Mytilus edulis: one gene and its partner. The protein of the gene in region 1 binds, or shares a complex with, the protein of each later gene. Links are inferred from orthologs where the notes say so. Each region holds a gene or a part of one and is shown in the gene's direction. Other genes may lie near its edges.

Region 1 (10,637 bases):
ACGACTAGTATAAAATGCATACTCACATGTATAGCTATATCATCAAAAATAGTTCCACATAAAGACTATCTTACTATATGTGTAAAAGGAAAAAAACTTCATCTTAAAAAAATCAACGTCTTTACAGTTTGAAGTACTTACCAAAATATAAATAAAACTAGTTCTCATCTTGTATCATAATGTGAAAAGAAATATAATTAAGATAATTAATTATGAAAACGTTATGTACATATTTAGACTAGAATGATAATGAAGTTTTGTCATTAAAATTTAGTTTTTGTTGATGGTTTCACTCATGCATATAATTGTATAATTAATTAAATTTAAAGGAATAAACAATTTGCGGTTGTTCTGAATACAGACACGACAGCTATTTTATGCAGTTACACGTTAAAGGTGAATCGAAAGGACAGTTGGCAGTTTTGAGCCATTTTAAATTTAAAAAATAATAGGTGTTGTTAAAGCATAAATTGATTAGTGGCTTATCAATTTACAACCAGTTTAAACTTAAGATTAAAGACAAAGTACCATTTTTTTGCAAGTACTAGTCGAAATGTAGGTAACTATATGGGTTGAACATCTCTATTTTATAAAACAACTAGTATATAAATTAATATAATAAAATAATGGAAATGATTTCATTCACATTAAATATCTTTCAGTTTCTTTTTCACAAATAATAATAATATATATGATCAAAATATATGGCAATCTATCAAAATATTTAATCATATATAAAATTGATTCCTTCAAATACAATGACTGTTGACGTACTCCACTATTGAAACACATATTTCATAAATACTGACCGTCATGTAACATGTGTAAAATGTTTATTTCAATTTTTCACAATTTAATCCTACAATGTTGACACATACAGAGAATAATAAAAAAAATAGATGAAGGTCACTAAATAAATATGAGTGTCTCAAGAGTCATACACTAACTAATATATAGAAGACATTTTGTTTTCTTTCAAAATTTAACAATATAAGGTAATGGGAAAATCTGGATTCAGTTTTTTTTGTCATCTGCGTGACCACAATAATAGTTTCTTCGTCAAATTGGGAATAAGAATATCATTTATGAATAAACCATATCCTCTTAACTAAAACAAAGTAAATAAAGGGGCAAACTATCCCACTGGGATTAAAGAGCAGTTTCCGTTTGAAATTGAACAAGCGCGGAAAAAGCTTTATCCTATCTTAAAGAAAGCCAAACAGGACGGCAAAATGGCAAGCCTGGTACGGGATAAACTATTTATAAACGGGAAATTATACATGGAAGAGAAAATAAAGACACATTCTCAAACACCGGCAAAAATGACACAACAGAAAATTGAGGCAACCAACCAGTGAGAGCCCGCCAATCCCACCGAGATCAAAACGAGCTAGGACTGAGTCAGATAACAGCCATATAAGAAGAAATCTCAGAAACAGTGATTCCATACCTTCTCCATCAACACATGCGAACAACACACAACCAAACCAATATTAGAGTGGCCACGGAGAACAACCAGCTAGACAACATACAAAAACGAATATTGAAAATGATTTTAAAAGCAGTAATATATTCTCACTCCCGAATTCAGACATTTATAATGCTTCGACTTCAACCAGTAGCGATACATGTAACAGTCCTAGAAAAAATATTTCAGCTGGTAGTGATCTAAACATTTTATGCCTGAACTGCTGTGGAATAAAGTCTCGCGTGAATTATCCAGAATTTAAAGACATTATAGATAATCATGAAATAGTATGTCTTGTAGAAACTAAAACCGATGACATTGATGTGATAAATCTTCCCGGTTATGAATTCAAAATGAAAAACAGGAAAAAAGTTACGAAAACGAGATCGGGTGGTATTACAGTTGGCTACAAAGAACATTTGAAGACAATGATAGAAATAATAGACACAGAATGTAAATATGTAATGTGGTTTCAAGTTAACGGTAAAGCTTTTAATTTAGATAAACCCGTTGTTTTTGGAGTCGTTTACATACCTCCGGAATATACTAGGTATTCCTCAGATGAAGCTGTTAATGAGATTGAACAAGAATTTCTACGCTTTTCGAACATTTCAAATTACATATGCCTCTTAGGGGATTTTAATGCCAGGACAGGTTGTGATGATGATTTTGTAATTATAATGAAGATGAACATGGTGATAATAACTTGTCTGACTTTATCGAAAACCCTATTAATGCTCTAGAAGCTCTGTCTATTCCCACGAAGAGGGAAAGTATGGATAAAGGAAAAAATAGATATGGCAATATGCTGTTAAATTTTTGCAAAGGCAACGGGGTTTTTAATACTAAATGGAAGATTGGGAAGGGATCAAAATATCGGGCGATTTACTTGTCGTAATGCCAGTGTAGTTGATTATTGTATAAGCACTCCTGAACTTTTGAAAACGTTTAAGGACTTTGAAGTTTTAGATTCAAGTAAGTTATTGTCAGATGTTCATAACCCACTCTCTATTACTTTTTTCTGTGATAAAAACTTGGCAATTGCCCATGCGGAAAATGTCGATTATTTTAGTAAAAAGAATACGTTTACGAAGATAAAAAGATGGAATTCTGAAAAGATAAAAGATTTTCAAAATAATATTGATGTAGAAAAAATAGCAGAACTTGAATACAAACTTACAAATACTGATTTAACTGTAGTGAATAAGAACATCATTAATTCACTTATAGATGATCTGTGTAATATTTTTGTCAAGTCTGGGAAGACAACTTTTGGTACTTATACTGTAAAACAGACTAAGAAAAGGGGAGATTTTGGAAATAAGAATAAACCCTGGTTTGATGAGGAATGTAAATTTGCACGTCAAAATTACAGGAAATTAAAAAGACGTTTCAAGTCCAAAAATCATTCTAAAAACCATTCAGACATGTTAAATGCCGAAAAAGCGTATAAAAACATTCTCGATAGCAAATTTAGAAACTTTAGAAAAGATCTTTCAGATAAAATTCAAAATTTGCGTGGCAAAAATCCGAAAGAATATTGGAAAATTTTAAATCAGAATAAAAGAAAGAAACAACCCGATATTGACATTGGAAAATTACACGATTTTTTCAAAAATTTAAACGCTGCACCGGAAGATGAAAAAAATGTGCAACTTCCAGAGATCAATCCCATGCAATGTGAACAGATGAATGAACATATAAATTCGCCTTTTTCAAAAGATGAAATTCTCCAGTCTATTAAAAAAACTGAAGAATGACAAAGCTTGAGGTGAAGACGAAATTATAAACGAATACATAAAATCCACATCAAACCAGTTTTTATGCATTTATGAGAAACTTTTTAATATTATATTTGATAAAGGTCTTATTCCACATAGGTGGCTTATAGGTACAATTAAACCAATTTATAAAAACAAAGGAAACTCCAAAGATCCAAAGAATTATAGACCAATTACTATCGTTAGCTGTCTGGGAAAACTATTTACAGCAGTTTTGAATAAAAGACTTAATGATTTTTCAGAAGAGTTTACCTTAATACAAGAAAATCAAAGTGGTTTTCGGCAAAAATATTCTACTACAGATAATATTTTTACCTTGTATTCTTTTTTTGAATTATTGAAATGTAGGAAAAAGAAATTATATTGTGCCTTTATAGATTTTGAGAAGGCTTTTGACACTGTATGGCGAGATGGTTTGTTTTATAAAATGTTGTTAAATAATATAAATGGTAAGATGTATAAGGTTATATCTAATATATACTGTGATACTAAATCTCGTATATCATACAATAATTGTAATTCAGAATACTTTGCTTGTGACAACGGCGTACGACAAGGAGAAAACTTATCACCTTTCCTATTTTCTTTATATTTAAACGATTTAGAAGATTTCTTGGTTAGTAAAAATATTACAGGACTTAAAACCTTATCAGAAGACCTTGAAAGAGAATTAAAAATACATCTAAAACTTTTTATCATATTATACGCAGATGACACGGTGCTGTTGGCCGAAACAGCACAGGATCTGCAGACGCAACTCAATGCCTTTCATGACTATTGTAAGGTTTGGAAACTGAAAGTAAATGTTGACAAAACTAAAACCCTAGTATTTGGTTTGGGACGTTTGCCAAAAAATCTCCAATTTACTTATAATGGCATAAGCATTGAGTTAGTAAAGCAGTTTAACTATTTGGGTATTGTTTTTACTAAAACAGGAAACTTTAATATGACTAAAAAATATTTATCCGATAAGGCCTTAAAAGCCATGTACGAAGTCCTGAAAATAGGAAGGATGTATCAGCTTTCTGTTAAATGTCAGCTTGACCTTTTTGACAAAATGATCAAGCCCATTCTATTGTATGGGTGCGAAATATGGGGCTTTGGTAATAATGATATCCTTGAAAAGATTCATTTAAAATTTTGTAAAATTCTTTTAAACTTGAAATCCTCAACGCCAAATTATATGGTTTACGGGGAACTAGGTCGTCATCCGATCGAAATAGATATTAAAGTTCGAACAGTACTATTCTGGGCAAATTTGATATCCGGTAAACAAGCAAAGTTTTCCTTCATATTATATCAACTTTCTCGTCATATGAACGAGCACCATAATGTCCAGATAAAATGGATCCTGTTTATACAAAAAATATTTCAAGATTGTGGTTTCTCATACATATGGGAGTCACAAAATTTTGTTAATAAAGAATGGTTAAAAACTGTTATAAAGCAGAGATTGCTAGATCAATATATTCAGAACTGGAATTCCCTCATTCAAAATTCACCAAAAGGTATTAACTACAAAAATTTTAAGAAAAACTTGGAATTCGAAGAATATTTTAATATTTTGGACTTCGAAGACGCTATTGTTTTTTGTCGATTTAGAACGACTAATACTAAGCTGCCGATTGAAACAGGAAGATGGCAAAACGTGATCAGAGAAAACCGCTTTTGCAGTCTATGCAACAATCGACAAATAGGTGACGAATATCATTTTATATTTGAATGCAATTTTTTCCATCAAAAACGCAAAGAGTTTTTAACTGAATATTTTACAAAACGGCAAAATACAGTTAAATTCTCTGAACTTATGTCAAGTACAAGAAAACCAGTTCTGAAGAAGCTTTGTTCTTTTATAAAAAATATAAATACTAGTGTTTGTACTCCTGGCTTGTAACTTTTGTAACCTCTCTCGCTTGTTTTGTACATATTGTAAATATTTATTGTTGTATCTGTTATCTCTGTACCGATGTAATGCATTGGCTTTATGAGAATAAAGATATATAGCCATCGTCTAATTATTCGAAGAAAAACATCGCAATCAGTGTTTCAAGTAATTGCTTGTTTGCTGAGAAGGGGACTAAGACTAACGAAAGAAGTACTCGTACTTATAAAATATTTGAAAGAATTAATTATTATAGATGAATAAGTAAGTCAGGAGCCTCTGGTCTTTTCAGTCTTGTATGTCTTTTAATTTTACTTTGTTTATATGTTTCTCAGTTAAGTGTTACGTCAATTTCCACTGAACTAGTACACGTTTTTGATTAAGGACCAACTAACCTAGCTTCCTGGTGCAGGATTTTCTCGCTTTTTGGAAAACCCAGAGGTGGCATTGGGCTGTTTCAGTCTGATGTTTGATCGGGTTTTTGTCTCTTTGACACATTCTTATTTCCATTCTCACTTTTATCAGATAAGTACAAGATCTCTTGATGTACTAAACACGGTATTTTGAATTTAAAGTTTATTTGATAAATTTTGAGTGTTTTCATTCTGCAGTGTTGCATAGATTTATCTTTTTTTAAGACAAAAAGAAGAAAAAAAAAACAATAATCAACTAAAAACTCCAAATTTAAAGAACGCGTATATTCTAGAGAGCTCGACACTTCTTTCTCAACTAGTGAAATCGAACAGATATCATTTATCAATTTAACATGTACAGAACCCTGCCTTTTTATCATCCCGTCAGCTACATTTACCATGCAGTTCCGAGTGGTTTTCAGGGGTTATGGTAGTTCAAGAGAGAAACAAGTCAGGATGCCGGAGCAATTTGGCAATTTATGTAAAAAAAGGTCAGGATGAACTAAGGCCAGCAACCATTTGATTTTCGGGGGAGGGGGGGGGCTATGGATTTTTGTTTTCTTTTAAATTTAGCATTACATATAGTGGCAGCTGAGGGTGAAACAAACATTTTTTTTTCTCAGGGTCAAAAACAAATTACTATTTTTTCTCTGGAAACAAACTTTTTTCCAAAAAAATCCATACCCCCCACCCCCCCCCCCCCCCCCAACACACACACATCCACACAGAAAATCAAATGGTTGCTGCCTATTATAAAAGGAAGGACCGAATAGAGTGACAAGAGAAAAAGCCAGGGCAACGTTTTTCTTCTTAACCCTCCCCCTTCCCCCGAAAAATTCAAATGGTAGCTCCCTTACAAGTTATAACAATACTAAAGAAAATGAATCATTAATAAAAAAAAATGACAAATAAACGTAGAAAATTCCGATCATATGTAACCTAAATTGGAATCTGTTACGGGATAGCAAGACATAATTTAGCAACAGTAAATATTGCCGGCAAAGAGTTACGTCCCTTCCAAAACAAAAGCCACGTCTACTTTCGAACATACGAAAACAGATTTTTGTGCGATTAGAAGATGAACAGGGCTAAAAGGAACCATCGCAGTTTATTTTCAATTGCTTTTGTTATTATTCTGTCTGCAATTTTACTGAGGTCTGGCATTAACGCACACAACGGCCACGGACATACTCATTCTCATGACGAGCAAGATGAGCCCAATCCATCTTTTAAATATTCACAGCAAGCAAACGTAGATCATGACCACGGACATGCACATGATCACGCACACGATCATGGTCACGCACACAATCATGGACACGCACACGATCATGGACATACACACGACCATGCACACGATCATGGACACAAACATGATGCACCTACAAAATCTTCCAAGAAATCAACAGGATTGGTACTTTGGCTACAGGCTTGTGGTGCCACAGCTCTAATTAGTGTCTCACCAATTGTAATTCTTTTGTTTATTCCAATAGAAAATGCATATGATGCTAAAAATCAAAATTTACTGAAAATTCTTCTCAGTTTTGCATCTGGTGGTCTTCTTGGTGATGCATTTTTACATCTTATTCCTCATGCAGTTTCACCTCACTCACATGGAGATGGTGATGACCATGCACACTCACATTCTCATGGGCATTCTCATGGAGAAGGAGGACATGAGCATGGTCACGATATGACAGTTGGATTATGGGTCCTTGCTGGAATCGTTGTTTTCCTGATGGTTGAAAAATTTGTGAGGTATGTAAAGGGAGGACATGCTCACAGCCATGCACCACCAAAACCAGTCAAAAGCGAAAAGAAAGGTGAAGGTGATGAAGATGCAAAAGGCAAAGAAACTAAAGATTCAAAGAAAAAAATTGAAAAGACAGAAGAGAAACAAGTAACAGGTACATGTACCTTGATATCAAATTCCTTTTTATGAAATTTAAAAGTTAACGTTACACCAGTTGAATTATCGCTATCTCATACCAATGCTTATGTTTTTTGGTGCCTATAAATAGTCATAGGAATACTTTCACGCATGTGTAGCACACAGTACAGGAGGCACCTGTTTGACTCGTGACAACATTTTTGAACGTTAGCTTTTGAATAAAGTTCTATTTTAAATGGAATTTGTTGAAAGTTATGATGAAAATTTATATCAAATATGGCATAACTGCGTTCGAATGAATAATCTACGACAAACGAACTTCAAAATGTGATCGTTTGAGAAATATTGAAATTTCAATTCAAACTGTCCGTGGGTAAACAATTTGACGAAAATATATATACACCTGGTTGTTGAAATGCGGACTGACTGATTTTCCTGGGGAAAATAATTATGATGGTCATTAATGAGGTTTATTAATAATTAATGGATTAGTGACCCATCCGATGGTGATAATCGGATTACATGTAGTTGTAATCACAACTTGCAACACCTGTTGAAAATGTTAATTACCTGGGAGTCAAAAGTTGTCAAAAACATGAAGACCGGTAGATTTATAGTATTTTAGTAGGAAAATATTTTTGCACTTGCAAAATTTAAGTGACGAAATTAATTTGAAAAACTTTCGTCAATCAAAATCACTGCCTAATATTTTTTATACATGGACGTCTGCAAAACATTTTTTGCTTTCGTAAATGATATAATGTTGTCTGCATTGTCGTCTGCTGCATCGTTGCCTGTCTCTATGATATTTACCAGAAGGTTGAATACCATACACTGAAGGAAGGAAGTTAAGGAAGTAGGGGGCAAAAAAGGGGGGCTTATATAAGTATTGTAGTACTTTCCGTTCATTAACTTGTGTGTCAACAAGGTAAGTGTATTGATTTCAGTGAAATTACACCACAAGGTTTCATATCTAAAAGGGAAGGCTTTGATTGAGTTTTAAGGTAATTTCCCCAAATGTTTAGGAGTTAGAGTAAAGGGGTGAAGCATTTTTATTAGATCATTGACAATTTGGTCATGAATCCATCTGTGTTCTTTGTTTAATATATATGCACATATACCAAGGTGAGTGACACTGGCTCTTCAGAGCCTCTAGCATGTCTAGTTAAGTTTTCAAATAGTTGTTATCTATATTTCATGTATTTTTTCAGAACCTGAAGACATAAAAGTTGCTGGTTATTTAAACCTTGCTGCAGATGCTGCTCACAATTTCACAGATGGTTTGGCAATAGGTGCTTCTTTTCTAGCTGGTAGAAATATAGGAATTATTACAACTATAACTATATTCTTACATGAGATACCACATGAAATTGGAGACTTTGCAATCTTAGTAAAATCTGGGTGCACAAAGAGAAAGGTACAGTATATACATTTTTTAAGTGTTATGTGTCCGTATCATGGCGTATGTACATTTGTGAATTTCATAGAAATGCACCTTGTTGTATTGTCTAAATGATGGTAAAATTCTATATATAAATTTTAGCTATAATTCAGCCAACACTTTTGTTCTCGAAATCTTGATAAAATGGAGTTCATTTTAAGGTACCTTTTGATATCTATTTTTGATTTTTTCCTATATTTTAACCTTTCTGGCTTTTTATAACATACATAGAAAGCATTGCATTTGCAAAATTTGCTCTGCAACCACAATATACAAATGTACATGCCAATTATGATAAGACCATTAATTTTGAAATTGTACATCTCATGTCTTTTCTGGCAAAATATTTCTAATTAATTATTAATTTTACTACAAAGGTACACCTAAAAATTAACATAAACTTTTGTGTCATACATTTTTGTATATTTGAATAACATGTGAAAAATACAGAAAAAATGCTTATCTCGTCAAAAATAAATTTTTGAAGTTCCTATTAGAACAGGCATAAAAATAACAAAGCTATCTATATTCTATCTCTTTATAATTTTGATGTATTTTGTATTATATGTTGTAAAATAAGATACATTTAGTTTATGAAAATATTGTTTAATGTATAAAGTGGTTAAGTTTAAATTTAAAAATTTTAGATTTTATTTTCCCTTTTCTTGTGTTTGATTCTGATCTTTGTTATAGAGATTAGATTTACTATGGGGAATTGTGTATTTTGCATTTTTAACTCTACACTGAAATTAGCAAAATTGAACCCCTTGTGAACATTTACCACTTAATCTTTACATGTACAGTATCTCAAATTTGTATGCAGGATAAAAAGTGAAATGCAAGCTTCACCATGTGTCCACTTTGATTCTTTAAATTCTATTTGATAACTGTAAATTCAGAATTATTGCAATGTTTTTATTATTCCCAATAATGTGACAGGGATATAAATCGCAATTATTTAAACTCGCATTTTGATTTATTTTTTTATGAATTTAACAGAATTCTCATATTTAGGCGAGTGATATGAGAGCCAAATTTACATTTTTAATGCACCTACCTAACACACGGCTAAATTATATATCACTAGAAAGCTAAGAATGTGTACTTTCTAAATATCCCGGTCGTCAAAAGAAATTATGGTGCATTTTTTTTTAAATCGAGGTCAAAGGTCATGGGTGCAATTTCAATTCACGGATACTTCCAGTTGTAAAATCGAGTCAAAACAAATGCAAAAACGAAACAATTTTAAAGGAATGCTGTATTACTGTTGGGAAAATATATTTCTATTATAATATTAATTAATTTTGGTTGATTTTGACGGTAACGCATGTTACATAACGTTTTCTCTCGGAGTCTTTGAAAATCAACATTTAAGTCACACAAATGTATCTGTAGTCGCCCTTGCATTATCTAAATCATATAATACCTCCATATCATTTGATTGCACGTATTTACAAACATATATATCTGCAAATTTGATAAAAATAATCCGAAACAAAATATTTGAAGCAAGGGGAAAATATAACATATGACGTATTTTTAATTGTTTAGAAAAGTCCCATGATGAGCTGTTTATTAAAATTGAGGAAGCGTATGGTCTCCTGTTAGTTTGAAAGCCTGACAACCATAGAGCAGATTTTCTTTTATATATGTTGCAATATGTTGATATATAAAAAAGAAGATGTGGCATGATTGCCAATGAGACAACTATCCACAAAAGACCAAAATGACACAAACATTAACAACTCATACATCACTAAA
Region 2 (10,663 bases), on another chromosome or scaffold:
AAAAAGTTCAACGGAAGGTACCAAGACCTTGTTGATAAATATTCCGTATCAACTTCACAAATAGTACACGATAGGCTTAAAGTATAGATTCTGGGTACTGGCGTTGTTTATCGTCTTAATAACGGGTTATATTATTCTTTTATTTGTCTTTATGGATATTACGAGAAGTCCATTACTAGACTTCTGATATTACTTTTACTGTTTAGTCTGCTTTTGTCATATCAGACGTGACTCTGTATTTATTTATCCCGCCATTGTGTTATTGTTCTATGATAATTTCTGTTTCAATGTCTTTCAATTTTGCTTATTTGATTTGTCTTTATGCCTTTTTTTTTATTTCTTTGATACATATGACATGCCCCTCTACTTATACATCCCGTCATTGTGTTAGTGTTCTATGATAGATAAATCTTGTTTGCTTGACTCTCATTTTTGCTGATGTGCTTTGTCTATATACTTTTTAGTGCTTCTTTGTTACGTATTTGTTTGTTTTTATAGTGATTAAAATTATAACATAATTTTTACTGATGTACCCCTATTTTTGACATTTTTACTTATTGTGTCTGATTGTTTTGTTCACACATCGTTGTCAATATAATAGAATTCGATGCGACTGTCATAAAAGTGAGAGGTTAAGCTAGCTATAAAACCAGGTTTAACCCACTATTTCTACAAAAAGAAATCCTGTACCAAGTCAGGAATATGACTATTGTTATCCATTCATTTGATGTTTTTGAGCTTTTGATTTTTCCATTTGATTCGGAAAATTCCGTTTTGAATTTTCCTTGGTTTTCAGTATTTTTGTGATTTTACTTTTCAGGGGTTGAAATTTACTAAGGAGCTCGGTATTTATAAGACTTTTTGTATACGAAAATCATCATTACCACAGGAGGAACTGCAACAATTAGAATCAATTATTAAATTGTATTCCCTGTCCGTCTTCACTATGCTTTCAATTGATTTGAACTACAAAGTTTAAGAATTTCTTACTAAATATTATGCAAAACAATAACAAAAGGAATTCTTCGGGTTAAATCAAGTTTAACGGTCTCAATATAATGATTCTGGTTTTCGCAGCCACTTTTAATATATTATAATATTCTGCTAGAAAATTATTTTGTACAAAATCGAGGTGAATTCAGGAGAACGGGAGGAAAAAGAGTGACATTCTTTTTAAATTTTCTACCAGTATATATCTGCCAAATATATTGGATAATTGAAAAAAAAAATAGAATGTGTTCGCGTTTTAAAATAATATACTAAAGTTCTGTTATGAATTGTTGCATTTTCTTGTAAAAGTATTCTACATTAAGTTGTGACATGAATTTGGGCTATTTGGTGTAAACCAGGCTTAAGCCACCATTTCTACATTTGAAAATGCCTGTACCAAGTCAGGAATATGACAGTTCTTGTCCATTCGTTTTTGATGCGTTGTGTTATTTGATTTTGCCATGTGATTATGGACTTCCGAATTGATTTTCCTCTAAGTTCAGTATTTTTGTGATTTTACTTTTTTTTGTTAGACTCTATGTACACGCACCAGGGGCGGATGCAGGAATTTTCGAAAGGGGGGGTGCTAACCCAGGGCAAAGGGGGGTGCAGGGGGGTGCAAAACATATGTCCCGATACAAATGCATTGATCGGCAAAAATAAAGGGGGTGCGCACCCCCGGAACCCCCCCCCCCCCTGGATCCGCCACTGCGCACTTTGTCGATTGTAGGATGGCCACTAATTTGAGTAAGGAAATTACAATTTGGGAAGCAGTATCCGAAATACACTATTTCTACTTAGCTGCAATCTCTTGTATTCTGCATGTGAGGGAAATGATATACAGTTAACATAACTCAGTGATGCTCGAGCGATTCAACAAACGACTACAAACAAAAACAACACGGCGACAGCGAACACATGGCCCAAATAGTCTTCTTTGGTACAGGCACATTGTGTTGTGGTCTAAACAAGTTATACTTGCCCACATACTTCCCCTTTGCACTTCTAGACCACATATATAAACTAAAAGTAAAAGACACGTACATATACAGTCCAGCTATCAAAGGGATGACCAATGATTTGAGCAAGGAAATTAAAATTAGGAAAGCAGTATCACTATCATTATGGCACTATTTCTTCTTAACTGCAATCTCTTTTGTTCTGTTATGTTAATGTATTAGATATGAAAATAACGGAAATTTATTTTTCACATTATGAATAACAATTTTAAAAAGCATTCTAAGATGACCACGTAGCAAAATCACAATTACTAGTGCCGTGTTTAGTTGTTATTGTTGATGGAAAGACAAATACACAACAATTTACAAATGGATTTCTTAAATGAATAATAATCACATGAATCAGACCATATTTGATTTAGGGATAGCGTTTTCTTAGACTGTTTAATTATATCATATTTTCAAAATAAGACTTAATTGGGGAATTTTATACAACGCATTATCGGCGTAATTTGGAATTTCAACTCAATCTATCTTAATAATTGTGAATTTTTGTGGTGAATACCATATGATAATAGCTTCAGTGGTTCGCCTAATTGGTAAAAATCGAATGAAATAGATAAATTTATTTTCGTTAATTGTCTCATTTCTCCTACATTAATGTTGCATTTTCTGTGGAATTCCAGAACAACATAAATGAAATGCTCCCTGTTAATTCGCAATCAGAGTCCAACAAGGTAGACTAACGAAGTAAACTATTGTTTTTAATGAAAAATGATGTAATTTACGCCCTCCCTAAAAAACATTGGCCGAGTTTTAGATGGCCAGGGGATGTCGTTATGCAAAGCTTGAAACAAAAGTCATAAAATGATGGAAATGAAGGGATTATTCAAAAGCAAAACAGATCATTCGTAAATGAAAGATCCGTAATTACGGGAACCTTTGTCATCTGATTAATTACCATCGCTTCCCCGGGGATGACAATCATAGCTTTTCTTAATGTATAGTGATGTGAAATTAAGCCTTCGATTGATGGGGCCAAATCAAATCGTAATTATAGATAGTCTTGCATACAAAAATTATCTATATCAAATTCAATTTTAAAATGTTGCATTGGTATTGCGATTTAAGCCATAATTGACGGTTCCTGATCTCTACTTGCACAACGAACCATTTTTCAACCTTAATTGATCATTAATAGGTAATTCTGTATTGTACTGTGTGTCTTCCTAAATATACAAAATTTGATAAAGATGTGGCGTAATACAATTGCAATAGTTCTGTTTCAATCTTTAATCCTCGTGTGGGCAACTAAGATCTGATTTTTAATCAATCACTGTATACAGTCTGGATATAATATATAATGTAAGAAAGTTGATTGTGCTGAAATAAAAAAGAATACACATTCGATAAATATTAGAATAGCACTCTTTAAATAAGGTACCCAGATGCTTACATGTGATATAAAAAATCAACAAAAAAGGAAGTTTTAACATGAGTTTGTCTACAAAGCATTACGTATATACAACAGTTTGTCTTAGAAAGCAACTGATGCAAGGGGCTAAAGGAGAGGATGTATGTTGTAATGATAAGATGCGACTGGTTTATCTAGGAATTCTAAAAAAAAAAAAACTTTTATCAGACATACTTCAATCTCTTTTTCGGTTATGGCGGTTTCCGTGCTCTCTTACTCGCGTGTTTTTCTATTTTTCTCACCATGGAAGTATTATATTGATCATTGTATTGAAATGTCGCACGATACTAGTGTCATCTAACGTACACGAAGTAGTATTGGTGTCTTTCTCCGTCTTGGGTTGTAAATAACAGAGATACTAAGGTCAAGATTTCCAATCAAGTTAGCAAAATTTGATGCAGGAACGCACATAACTAATGTGAATTTTCCTTTAAAAGAACAAATTGTTAAGATGTTAACTTATAACTATTAGTATATTTATCGAGCCTGCGCCTTTTGTCGCAGAAAGCTCGGCATAGGGACAGTGCTCCGGCGGCGGCGTTGTTAGATCACTTTTAAAAGTTCTTAAACGCTTGATATTTTAGAAAGTGGAAAACTTGGATGCTTCATACTTTGTATATGGATGCCTTAAGTTACGAACTTTCTGTCTGTCACATGTCCATTTGCCTTGACCTCATTTTCATGGTTCAGTGACTACTTGAAAAAAAGTTTTTTTAATGTTGATTTCTCTCTTATTATGAGTAGTAGGAAAACTATATTTGGTATGTGTTTATATACCTTGCAAGGTCCTCATGCCCGCCACACAGTTTTCAACCTCGATCTCATTTCATGGATCAGTGAACAAGATTAAGTTTTGGTGGTCAAGTCCATATCTCAGATGATATATAAAGCATATTTATAGTATATTTGGTGTATGGAAGGATTGTAAAGGGTGTACATTTCCAACTGGAATGTGCCATCTGACCTTGGCCTCATTTTCATGGTTCAGTGGTTATAGTTAAGTTTTTGTATTTTGATCTAGCTTTTTTTACTACTATAATATATGCAATTATAGGTCTACTGTATTTGGTGTATGGAATAATTGTAAGGTGTACATTTGATTTTCCAACTGGCAGGTATCAACCTTGACATCATTTTCATGGTTCATTGGTAAAAGTTAAGTTTTTGAGTTTTGATCTTTTTTACTAATACTATAAGCAATAGGTCAACTATATTTGGTGTATGGACATATTCTATGATGAACATGTCAGTCTCGCAGTTTTATTTGATCTTTTTTATTTCATTTTCACGGTTCATTGCATAGTGTTAAGATTATGTGTCTGTTTTTCTTAAACTATAAGCAATAGTTCAACTATATTTTTTGCTTGATTTTTAATGTTTTAAAATTTGCATTTTAAAGGGAGGTGACTCTGAAACAGTGCATTTCACGGTTGAAGGAATCTTGTTGAAATTTTGCTATTTCATATTTTAGCAAGAAAAAACGTACGGTGACCCTATTTTTTCTTTTGATAATCTCAAAGCATGTTATAAAAAATATCTTCTCGTATTTTATTTTACAATCAGTCTATCATTTAATTTATCTTCTAATCACATTAATGCTTTTTCACTGTATAATCCATACAAAACTTGTCATTTTGTCCCAACCTGTAGCTTCAGAAAATGCTCGGTGACCTATCATTTTATTATATTTTTAAACATATCACCATGCATACTATGTTGTGGCAAGGTATGAACAAATTCTATCATTTTTGGGATAGGATTGCTGTCAGGTAATCTGTAGACTTTTGCCATTGACTCCTTTCCAAGGCTCTTGCGTCAACCGTGTTGTGCTTTACTTTAGGAACAACTCAGATTTTTAGAATTGTCCTGTTATAAAAGCAAAAACAAACAAATTAGAGATTGGGTTTCAACAACGGGCCCTATACGATAAAAATCAATCATAACATATATATTTTGTTCCCCTGTACTTGTCTATATAACCTGGGAACAGTTGACATGTATGTTCCTGCTATAACTTTATATTCCTTTCAGTGTTTAAGACTGTGGCAATGTGAACTAGCTAAGTTACTAACGACACATTCAAGTTGAATTTATTTACGTAACTCATTAAAATTATAGGTTGAAGATTGTTGAAGAGTAGAGGTAAAAAGCGCAAATGTCTGGTCAATCTGGGAACAGTATATTTATCCCGGGGGTTGCTTCCTATATTTTTAGTGGTATGGGTGTGCAGCAAAACAGGGTCCCTTTTCCATGGCCTGCTGGTTAGAACAGGGTCCCTTTTTTGTGTCCTGCTGGTAAGACTGTGACAGGGTCGCATTTTCATGCCGGCCTGCAGCGCTGTTGAGAACAGGGTCTTTTTAAACAAAGTATTTGTCTAGTACAGGATCGCTTATTTAACTGTTTGAGATACAGTCTAGAACCATCTATTTCACACGGTCTAGAACAGGGTAGGCTATACTGAGCGTGTTTAGAACAAGGTATGTTTTTCAATGTTTTCTGGTTAGAACAGGGTAGGATTTTGCATGTGCTGTCGGCACAGCAGTGGCGGATTCAGCCATTTAAAAAAAGGGGGGGTTCCCAACAAAGAGTAAAGGGGGGTTCCAACTATATGCTCCCATTCAAATGCATTGATCGGCCAAAAAAAGGGGGGTTACAACCCCCGGAATCCCCCCCCCCCCCCTGGATCCGCCACTGCACAGTTATACCATCGAAAGGCCAGTCAGTAACACCCCCTCCCCCGTATATTTATCTACAAATCCTTGAAAAAATAATGTGATGTGAAAAAAACAGAATTACCAATCCTACATGTCCTAGATAAGAACTGGTAACACATATATGTTTCTTTATAACAACTAGGCTGAAAATTTTGCCAAGTATAGCGCTGGAAAGACTATATAATATATCTGATAATATCTTCATTAGTCTTTTTCTCGGCCGTTATTGAAATTCTTGACAATATTTGTATTTTCCGAAGGCATATACTGAATGTTATACGGAGGGGACCAACATCTTCATATGCTGAGTTTTCATTTGAAATTTGCCGCTGCAAAACTTCTAAAAAAGGGAGAATACACATTTCGTTTAAACCGGAAGATGTGTTTTACACAGCTCAGTCAGTTATTGTTTTGATTCAGACAATTTTACTGATCTAGACTTTAAAAGAATATGTAAAACGATAACGTAGAGAAAGACATATATAAAAATTCAGTAATATATGTCCATAATATTTCATGAACTTATCCATTTATCTGGGATGTGTATTCATAGAACTGTTGACAGCAGTTAATATCAGGATGAGCCAAGCAGCTGATCAAATCCCCGGAATTGGTCATATTCGCAGTCCATTGCTACGTTCAGTTTACAATAAAATGAGAGAGGATGAAAAACAAAAGAATAATCCCCATGATGACGTATGTTTTATTAGCAATAGCTAGCATGGCTAGATCCATATGTAAAAAAAAAATGTTATGGGGAGATGTACAAATTCTCAGATCTGCAGTGACATCACAACATGTAACTGACCAATCAATGATTAGCATTTTTGTTATGTAAACAATGTTGAGAGGTGATGCGGATGAGAATCCTCTAGATTTTCCATAGACTTCAATGCAAATTAATTTAATTGATATATATTGACACCAGTTGAATCTAGTAATTTTACCCACTTAATATTGTTAAAGACACTATATAATATCTCCATTTTGATTTTTATCATACTATATCCTCTGGTTAAAAAATAATCAGCAATATAAATAATCAGATATCACCTTCAAATAGATGAAAAATCTAGAGGAATCCTATCTGCATCACCCCTTGAAAAATTTAAATGCCAGGATGTCCGGATCTGAGAATAATAAAATGCCAGAATTAAAACTGTTTTTAAAATACAATGTTCATTATTCTAGAGGATTGATTAGCTTCAAAAGACTTTTTCAAAATGAAGTATATGTATGTTGAATGATAAACTTTAAAAAATAGTTTATACAATGTACAGTACCTGGCCAAAAGTATTGCATTTTTGTTTATATATATATATTTCATATAAAAACAATTTTTCAAAAAAATATTTTGAGGGCATTTATGGTTGGATTTTTATGAACAAGGCTTTAAAAGAAGTAGAATTGTTTGTTTGTTTATTTGGTGATAGTTTTGTCTTCGGGTGTTATTGTTTTCTCTTGATGTGAACACATACAATAAATTTTTATAATTTAATTTGGTTGAATATACAGCGAATTTCTGAACAGAAAATAATATTTGTATTTATCTTGTGAAAAAATGAAAATGATCCACAAAAAATATAACCAAATAAACAAATAAGCATGTGACAATTCTGCTTCTATTGGTTAAAATCAAACCAAAAATGACCTCAAAATATTTTTTGAAAAAATGTACTTTTATATACAATATACAATGTATAGCGAAAAATCTAAAGTGATGAATACTTATAGCCACACTCTGTACTTGTTTTATGATTTTCAAAAATTGACAAATGACCATACAGGTACAATGTTCTTTACATGAACATTTGTTTGATACTAATTTTCATGGGTTTCATGGTTACAGGTGAACTGCGAAATCAAATGTTCAATGAATAACAAATTTCTAATAGGCTTTGTATGCAGAGATTTGCAAAACCACCAAATCAAATATCCACGAAAATGTAAGTTTTCCTTAATCCACGAAAAATTGATACCTCAAAAAAATAAATGAAACCACTGTAAGCCAAGAACTGAATCATTCAGAATCTACATTTGTAGATGTGACATCAACTCAGAATCAAAAAAAGTAACTCCAGTATAAAATAAACATGATTTATTGAAGTTGATTTTTTTTCTTTCAAAGTGGTATACAGTTGACCTGTCCAAAGTTCCAGAAGAGATTTGTGCAAAGTTTTTACAGTTTAACCAGGATGAAGAAACAAGCCAGTTCCTAAACCAATGTTATGAAAAATCTGATTGGTTATTTACTCAGCTAGGTCATTCCATCTGTAAATCTGTACTTGGTTGGTTTATGTCAAGCACCTCGATTAATGGGTAATGCTCTCTAATAAAGCACTGTGTATACAAAGTCTTGAAATAGCATGCAAAGGTATTTAGGAGGTTTAGATAAACATAAACCATTATTAATTGGTCGAACAGGGAGAAACAAATATTTTACAAACGCTTTAGCTATTAGAAAGTATCGAAGCACACATAAAGATTTCCCCTGACCTGCCAAAATGAGCCAAAATAAGTACCATGTGAAAATACTCCACTATACAGTTATAGAAAATGTGGTATGAGTGCCAATAAGACAACTCTCCATCCTAGTCACAATTTGTAAAAGTAAACCGTTATAGCTCACAGAGCCTCACTACGAAGAGCAAGCTATAAAGGCCACAAAAGTGACTACCGGTAGTGTAAAACTATTTAAAAAGGAAAACCAACAAACAACAATACTACAGAAAAGGCATTTTAATTTATAGATTACATGTATATAGAGTATCCACCCTATTAAAACACTTGTTTTTTTTTTTTTTAAAGTAAAAGCTTTTCATTTTAAAGAGCTTTTATACTAAGGTGTTTTTTAATTAAGAGTATACATTTTTTTTTTCGTTAGATTATTAAAAAGAGGATCAATGTTTGTATTTTCCAAAGATCAGCTTAGACAGATGTTACATGTAGCACCAGACAGGAAAGGAAATAGGTTACTAGATCTTGGTAAGAGAAAAGTAAAAGGACTACTGTAAATCAACTTATTTTTGCAGATACTTTATTTCACGTTTTACGCTTTCTAATCCAATTTGCGGCTATTTATATTTGTGATTTTCTAATTTCCTTGATGTAGTTTAATGAGGAAAGAAACAAGTTTAACATATTTATGATGATTTATATAAGCGCTACTCGTGAAAGTCACAAAAAAATAAATCGCTCCCAAAAATAAGTTGGTTTACAGTATTCCCATTTAACTAAAAATGAAGCAGTGAAAAATAAAAGTATTATGCTTGTTTAGATAAAGGGAAATGTGGTATATATACAATAGTGAGAGGAACCCAACAACACAAAACTCAGACATCTTGAGGTCAACATTAAGTCTTCAACAATAGACAAGTATCTCTACAATATAAGTGGTATTCTATCAAAACCATTCCATAAACGATGGAAAAAATTATGATGTCACTAAACAGAACCACTGAAGTGGGTTCAACTAGTTTTCTGTCACCTCAATCAGTAGACAAGAAAACAAACTAATAAATGGCAATAAAACATTCGTATGTATCAGAAACAATTGTGAGCTGGATCAGCCACTGGACATAATTTTTATGCTTATTAACACAATACGCAGTTCGTACTAATTTGGGAAATGTCCACCAAAGGAGTAAGTTCGGTAAGGGCCATATTTGGCCCCAATTATAAAGTTCATAGTTACAAGATTATAAATTTTTTAAGTTGCCTTAAAGACATGTGAGAAAGTTAACCAGAACTATTTTTGTCAAAGTTTAATTCTAACACGTTGATTTTACATTTCAAAAAGGTCAAGATAAAGGATATGGGTGAAATTTGACAAAATCAGCCGATTTTCAATTTTCAACCAAATTAAGGACCCGGAAACATAGAGCGCAGGCGTCGACAAACTTAATATTCAAATGAGACATGTGAAATGTCTTCACAAACAATATTTTAAAAGATCATTGTTGTCGACGTATGCACTCTATGTTTCCTGTCCAATAATCTATGGAAATTTACCCATTTTCATTGACATTTTCGTGAAAAATCAATATGAGTACAACTTGTGACGTCATAATAAAACGCAGAAACGTAAATTTTTCAACAAAATGGCTTATTTCCTGTCTAGTCACTGCATTAGCTATAATTAATTGTGAAATTGGTCAATAAATCCTAATTTGAAATTTACGCTAAAAAAGTAGGCCATTTTAGGACCTTACCGAACATACTCCTTTTAGTAGAACATGTTAAAATCTAAAATTATATATTGAGAATCTAAAATATCGCTAATCATGAGCAAGCAAAGGGAATATTTGTTTCTCGCCTATGTGCTTTGGTTTTTCTTGTGTTAAACAAACTGATCACATATGCCAACCAAAGCATCAACTTACAGTCTTACTCCCAATAATTGGATGCCACCTGAAATGGCTGGTTATTGCACTTCACAATTTAATTAACTTTGGTCTATACACTTCTAACCCATTTGGCTGAGAGTTGTATAAAAGTACAGGAATACCAGTAACAGTAATTTTGAT

Evidence for each region.
Region 2: the proteins of zinc transporter Slc39a7-like (region 1) and protein-L-histidine N-pros-methyltransferase-like are in contact, whole or in part, in a crystal structure (PDB 8GZE), measured with the Homo sapiens proteins. The link is inferred for Mytilus edulis from reciprocal best matches to the Homo sapiens genes SLC39A7 and METTL9. Residues at the interface, in NP_001070984.1 of Homo sapiens: Gly65, His66, Thr67, His68, Glu69; in NP_057109.3 of Homo sapiens: Arg114, Thr115, Asn118, Arg123, Gly124, Met126, Met179, Asn210, Asp213, Arg214, Val241, His245, Tyr247, Glu249, Trp255, Tyr295, Leu296, Cys297, Glu298, Asp300, Tyr306, Val307, Leu308.

What each region holds. Positions count from the first base shown.
Region 1 is NC_092345.1:44,233,529-44,244,165, forward strand, and holds the start of zinc transporter Slc39a7-like, read left to right. Parts: upstream 1-6,526; 5' UTR 6,527-6,622; coding exon 6,623-7,451; intron 7,452-8,646; coding exon 8,647-8,852; intron 8,853-10,637. Other genes in the region: ataxin-2 homolog, read right to left, coding at 142-168. UniProt on the Homo sapiens protein: Transports Zn(2+) from the endoplasmic reticulum (ER)/Golgi apparatus to the cytosol, playing an essential role in the regulation of cytosolic zinc levels.
Region 2 is NC_092348.1:52,996,685-53,007,347, forward strand, and holds the start of protein-L-histidine N-pros-methyltransferase-like, read left to right. Parts: upstream 1-6,490; 5' UTR 6,491-6,653; coding exon 6,654-6,833; intron 6,834-8,265; coding exon 8,266-8,456; intron 8,457-9,021; coding exon 9,022-9,122; intron 9,123-10,663. UniProt on the Homo sapiens protein: Protein-histidine N-methyltransferase that specifically catalyzes 1-methylhistidine (pros-methylhistidine) methylation of target proteins.